2 linked regions of the Tribolium castaneum genome follow. The protein of the gene in region 2 purifies or fractionates together with the protein of the main gene of each other region. This does not show direct contact. Links are inferred from orthologs where the notes say so. Each region holds a gene or a part of one and is shown on either strand. Other genes may lie near its edges. The genes, in order: armadillo segment polarity protein and enkurin.

The links.
Region 1: the proteins of enkurin (region 2) and armadillo segment polarity protein purify together in Homo sapiens (affinity purification with western blotting; 3 studies listed by BioGRID). This does not show direct contact. The link is inferred for Tribolium castaneum from reciprocal best matches to the Homo sapiens genes ENKUR and CTNNB1.

Annotation. Positions count from the first base shown.
Region 1 is NC_087395.1:16,178,640-16,182,476, reverse strand, and holds part of armadillo segment polarity protein, read right to left. Parts: intron 2,736-3,837; coding exon 1,111-2,735; intron 1-1,110. UniProt on the Homo sapiens protein: Key downstream component of the canonical Wnt signaling pathway.
Region 2 is NC_087394.1:7,008,635-7,011,764, forward strand, and holds the end of enkurin, read right to left. Parts: intron 988-3,130; coding exon 796-987; 3' UTR 773-795; downstream 1-772. Other genes in the region: Cpsf5 (cleavage and polyadenylation specificity factor subunit 5), read left to right, coding at 333-447, 506-527. UniProt on the Homo sapiens protein: Adapter that functions to localize a calcium-sensitive signal transduction machinery in sperm to a calcium-permeable ion channel.

The sequences.
Region 1 (3,837 bases), on a different chromosome or scaffold from region 2:
ATCGGAGAGTTAGACTACCCTTAATAAACATAATAGTTTTGTTTAATTCAGAATGTTATTGGAGAGTTTTTGGCTCTCACAAGCTCAAACACCCAATAATAAAACGAATTTGTTTCTCATTTAATCCGAAAAGGTAGTTATGTTATGGCTAATGTGTAACCTTGGCTAGTTAGTAAACTAGCCAAAATTCTTGGCTAATTTACTTGACAGATAGAATGAAAATTTACCTTCCAAGAAGAAAAACTATTCAACATAGTTGATGCTAAAATTAACTTCTATAACACCCTAAGATTCTAACTGTAAGTTAGAGGCTTCATTAATTGTAATGAAAAAATTATCTAATTGCAATTCTTCATAAATAATTCCGAATATTACAAACAGTTTCAAAAAAATACTTCTACAAGCTTGCCCTTGAAGTCCAAAAATCTTACAAAAAAGAGAAGCAAATAAAATACTGAACCATAATATATTAAAAATTCAATTTTAATTTTTTATTGTGTGTAATATGTAAATCTTCAAAAGTAGAAATTGAAAAGAAATCCTGAGGTCAAGTTATCTAGACCAGAAATGGTTCTAGTTTAAAGCTCAAAGCTCTCATTTATTAGCAAAAACTTCAAATCAATAATTATATAAAACAGGCGTAAGTACTATACGAAGTAAGTTACAGAATAATAATGAGAATAAAAAAGTTTAATAAGTGAAAACAAAATAGAACCGTTAAATATTGTATACCCACCCTTAAGATCGAAAATGCTGTCGTAGCACAAGAAGAATTAAGAAAAAAAACCGGTGTTTATTAAAAGTCTCAAATATGATTGTGTCCGTAATTTAAATAAACAAATAAACTTATATAAATTGGATATTTTGTATTACGATAAAGTATGGTATTCATATTACCTAGCCAGAATGTCTTAGAATAATCTATAAACTATTCAGTTATTTTATCTTTCCAGTAAAATAGCAAAGATTCTTGGCTAATTTGTAAACTAGCCGCTATTTTAGTTGAAACTGTGTTTTCTATTAAAATAGCGAATGGTCTGACTAGTTTACAAACTAGCCAAGTTTACACACTAGCCGTAACAGATACAATAAGTAACTGCAATGTCTTACCCTCTGTGTGTCCTGGAAGGCCCTCATCAGCAGCTGCACCAAATGATGTATCGCCCCATGCTCCCTTAGTGGTGCATGATTGGCCGGACACAGCGCTAAATTCCTGATAAGCCCGATAACGGCCTTGACTAGCGGCCAACGCGATGGCGGATTCAACAACTTCACGATAACTTGAATACCGTAATTCAACCTGACTGCATTTTGCGCCATTTCCGACTCCACATGTCTCGACGTGAGATGTCGCAAAGCGCAAACGGCCGGTTCTGTGATCTCCTCACGATCCCCAGCGCTCACAATTGTGCGCACAAGGGCATCAACACCACCGACTTGGCAAACGGTGACTTTGTTGCGTTGGTTGTTACACGTCAGGTTAGACAAAATACCAGAAGCGCAAGTAACGACGTGGACGTCTTGCGAGTTCAAAACCTGCACCAGGGAACTGAGCAAGCCTTCGAGACCGTCGACTTTGGTCGCGGCATCGGAGAGGTTACGCAAGGTCCAGAGGCAGTTCTGCACGAGGCGGCCGCTGGGGTTCCCCAGGTGCATGGCCAGGGCTTGCATGCCGCCGGCTTCGACGATGGCCGGCTTGTTGCTCGGACACACGGATAGGACTTTCAAGACTCGGGACGTCGTCCAGAGCAACTTCTCGTAGTCGTACGACCGCATGATTCTCACGAGTTCGATGGGACCTTGCGATGCCAGAATAATCAGTTTGCTCTCCTGGTTGCCGTACGCCAGGATTTGCAAACAGTCGGTCACAATTGCCAAGAACTTGACGTTGTTTCGTTGCAACAACGCGACCATTTTTTGCAAGCCTCCGGCTAAGCGGACGGCCATTTTGGAGCCGTCTTGGTGAAGCAATAAATTGTGCAAGGTGGTGATGGCGTAAAAGAGCACACTTTCAACCGGGGAGCTCAGCAGTTTGACCAATGCTGGAATTCCCCCGCTTTTGAAGATGGCCAGGAGACCTTGCCGATGGTGCGATAATTTGTGCAAGGTGCCGACTGCACCTTTGGTCGTTTCCAGGTCATTCGAGTTGGAAATGGCCCTCACTAGCGCTGCCACCATTTGCGGACTGTTCATGATCGCGTGCCTCGAAGCCTCTTTCTTGGAGAGCTGGTGGACCATCATCGCGGCTTGCGAAACAACCACTTGGTCTTCGTCGTTCAATAGTTTGATCAGCTCGGGGATGGCACGAGTCGCCAAATCCGCGTCGTCTTGATAATTGATTAGATTGACGACTGCATGTTTGAGCATTTGACTCGGCTCGGAGAGCCTTTGAACGGCCGTCTGGTGGCTGGGATCGAACTGAGTCGAGGGGATTTCGATCCCTTCGTCCAAAGTCTCCGGAAACATGGCAGCTCTGACCCTCTGCGAGCGCGTCTGGTTGAGCTGGTTGTTCATTTCGTCGACCTGATCCTGGGTGAAGCCTTGGGAGTATCCTTGATCCAAGTCAAAGAGGTCCATGTCTTCTTCCTTCCCGCTCAGGGATGGTACCTGGGTGGCGGCTCCGGAGTGGATGCCGGAGTCGCCCATGTACGAGTTTTGTTGCCACATGAGGGTCTGTTCTTTCGCGGGCGGCATGGGTAAATCACCGGGGCCCCCCTGATAGTGGCTCTGCGAGACTGGACAAAAATAACTGTGTCACTTTGAGACTTACATGAGAGAAAATCCAGCTTGAATACATAGTAATGAAGGGGGTAAAAACTTGGGAGTTTATTAATGGGAACTCACGATTACAAAGTATAAGTGGATTATTAAAGAGGATGCAATCCCCTAGTACATTTGTTTGCGAGTTGTTCATGGGTTGGAAGTGACGTGGTCATTATTACGTGTTCGTGCGAAACCAACAAAGGGAATTTCAACATGTGCTGATGGTCGGGATAATCCCCTATTTGCATGAGGAAACAAAAATAAACGAATCTCATACATAATTATATTTAATAACGCTGGTAATATCCCGATAAGGACTGTTATAAGTAGCACTTTAGCTTTAGATAAGCACATGTCTCAGGCGAAAATTCTATTCTTCTCTTTCGCAACCCTTGGCATTGACTTTAAAATTCAATTTTAAACAATAAAAAAAGATTCTTAGTTATTTAACCCCGTATAATTTGAATTTGATGGACTAGTTATCAGAAGTCTTACTTATTTTTATGATGACGGGCCAGTTTCATAACCGAATTTAAAAGAGCATTAAATTAAATTATTAAAATGTGTAAAGTTTGTCAACAAATCGTAAAAACGAGCACTTTATAAGCAACATTTAATTTAATAATCCTTATTATGGTTATGAAAATGGCCCTAAGTAATAAGTTAATAACTAATAAGAATAAATTGCTGTTCAAAATTGAAAATCAAAAATGAGTGCCGCTTTTATAAAAAATAGAAAACAATTGAAATTTTCTTCACCTCTAGAAAAATAAAAATTTATATTCTAAAATAATACCAGTAATTAACTAAAGGAATAAAAAGAAATTAAATTGAAAATACGATTATTATTTTTTATACTAGTATTGTATTTTGTTATGTGATGGTCAGCAAAATAAAATGAGATCCTTAAAAGTAAAGCAAAAATAAAAAGCAAAATCGGGTACATCAAAAGTCGCAGACACACTATTGGGCCTTACTGATCAGTGACCACTAAACAAATAATAAAAAAAATTACTGCTTCTTATTGAAGATAAGTTACAAAAGTATTTATTATTTATATTTATATCGTAACAT
Region 2 (3,130 bases):
ACGGAGGACTAAAATTATTTAATTTTCTATAAAAAAAAAAACTAATAAATTAGTCCTCCGCGGTTAATTTGTTCAAAAACAAGCAGTTGAAAAAAACACTATTGGGAATATAAATTGCTTGACTGAAACAGTTGTGTTTCAAAACGAGCTTAATTCTGTAAAATGTGATATTGTTTATGTTTATTTTTAAGTCTGAATGCATGGCTGTACACATGTGATGTATTATTCAATTGAAAAGTTAACATGAATTTTACGTTTTGTGTAGCTTTTTTCTTTCCTTCAATTTTCACCAACGACTCGTTACATCTGCTTATTTTTCACATATTTTACAGCACTTTTTGCCGTTCCGAAAAACTACAAATTGGTAGCCGCACCTCTCTTTGAGCTTTATGACAATTCACAAGGTTATGGGCCGATAATCTCGTCATTACCGCAAGCCCTGTGCAGGTATTTAATCACTAGTGTAATAATTACGTGTTTTATTGACGTGTTTTATTTTTTCCAGATTCCAGTTTATTTATATGTGAACAAACGAAGGTGTTCGTGAATGTAAGCATTTTTTACGTGTTAGCAGTGTGTGTGAGTATGTTGTTTCAGGTATGCAATAGGAGGATAAGGAACAAAAATTGATAAGAAAATTAGTGTTTCTTTTGTAATTTATAAACTACGTTTACTTTTAAGGATAGTGTTTCAAGTGTTACTAAAAGAAAATGATTTTTCTGTTCCGAGTAAATTGATTTAGTACCGTCCCAAATTTCGTTAACCTCCAACCTTACAATTTATACAATTATTTTATTAATTTACAGATAGTATGTTATCGTCGTATACATAAATATAAGGATGTCTTTCCACTAGTACTATATCTTTTTCTAATTGCTTTAGTTCCGCTTCTAGTTTCGATTTTCTGTTTATTTTGGGGATAGTGTCCGTTAAAATGGGCAGGCCCTGGTATTGTTTCTGTAATTCCTCCCAGTTGTGTTTCAGTCCCTGCAATAAAAATTTATTTAAAAAATCAATTTGAAAAAAAAACAGGTTTTGTAGCGATTTTTTTTACACAGGTGATTTAAAAGTCTCAGATGATCTTGTGGGCATCCAACTTAGTTAAAAATTCTTATGACATAACTAAAAATTGTTTCAGCGTTTTTAACGAGATATACCTTTTTAAAAGTTAAGACCTTGGATTAAATCTGTTCTCAGCGTCCAAATAAACTTATTTGGTCATTTTTTTTAAATTTTATTGTATTAGTGTCTCTTATAATCCTGGAAAATGATTTTGTCTCCGAGTTACTGTTTTATTTAAAATTTATTATACAAAAGAACTTAGTTTTTATTTCTTTACATAAGAACTTACGAAGACTTAAAGAAGTTCTTACTGATCTAAAGATAAACCCTCTTTGTAGACGGACCCCAAAGTTAAACTACATAATTTCTGATAATTTTAATTATTATGTAACTCACCTCAATATAAGAAACTAATTTACAAATATTTCAAGTATTGCAATTTGCAGACAAGGCATTATTGTCTTGTTAAGGCCTTGGGATAAATTTGTTCTCTGCGTCCAAATAAACTTATTTGGTCATTTTTTTTAAATTTTATTGTATGAGTGTCTCTTATAAATGTGATACAATCCTGGAAAATGATTCTGACTCCGAGTTACTGTTTTATTTAAAATTTATTATACAAAAGATTTTAGTTTTTATCTCTTTACATAAGAACTGACGAAGACTTAAAGAAGTTTTTACTGATCTAAAGATAAACCCTCTTTATAGACAGACCCCAAAGTTAAACTACATAATTTCTGATAATTGTAATTATTATCTAACTCACCTCAATATAAGACATTAATTTACAAATATTCCAAGTATTGCAATTTGCAGACAAGGCATTATTGTCTTGTTAAGACCTTGGGATAAATTTATTCTCTGCGTCCAAATAAACTTATTTGGTCATTTTTTTTAAATTTTATTGTATGAGTGTCTCTTATAAATGTAATACAATCCTGGAAAATGATTCTGACTCCGAGTTACTGTTTTATTTAAAATTTATTATACAAAAGATTTTAGTTTTTATCTCTTTACATAAGAACTGACGAAGACTTAAAGAAGTTTTTACTGATCTAAAGATAAACCCTCTTTATAGACAGACCCCAAAGTTAAACTACATAATTTCTGATAATTATAATTATTATCTAACTCACCCCAATATAAGAAACTAATTTACAAATATTCCAAGTATTTCAAATTTGCGGGCAGACAAGGCATTATTGTCCTGTAAGTAATCATTTATTTCTTTGTTCAATAATTTATTTAATTTAATTAAATTAATTTACTTATTAAAAACTAAGTATACATAAATCTCTCTTCGTTTGAATTAAGAATTTTTCTACAATTCCTTACTATAAAATTTATAGTAAATTTATTATTCAACTAATAATATTTAATATTATTAATTAAATAATGAAATTACATAATTAAACAAAAAATAAAATCGAAATTTTCTGATTTCTAGTCATTCCAAAATAGCGATGCATAAAAAAAGCTACAAATAAAGGTCGAAAATTACATTATTTTGGGCCTTTTTTGTTCAATTTTATCTTGTTTTTGAGAGAGGACTCAGTTCTTTGTACACTTTATTCAAAAATGACTAAATTAAGTCGAAATTAGTTATTAATTCTTTGGGCTTGTTCTTAGTGATTTTGTTTTATTTGTATTTTTATTTTGATCTATTTCGTCAGTTTTAACTCATTTATAATTTATCGATAAGTGAGAAACTTACTTGTTTTGCGAAATTTCCCTAACAATTCTGTGTAATTACGAATTAATTTATTAGTGATATTATTTTTTTCTTTTTCAAATGCTGGAGCACATTTTCCAATTAAAAATTCACTATTCTCGCGAAATTTTACTCAGCAATAATAGACTAAAAGAAAACCAATAAAGATTGAAAATTACGTTGCTTTTTCGCACGAAAACTAACTAATTTCACATAATTTCCCTAAAATTGTTAAACAATTTATTGTATTATACTTAGTCTTCTTAGGATTTAGGTTAGTTTCGATTTTTTTAAATAAAGATTTTATTTGGAAAAACCTTGGATTAAGCATTATTATTTCAAAATGAAAGCTTAGAA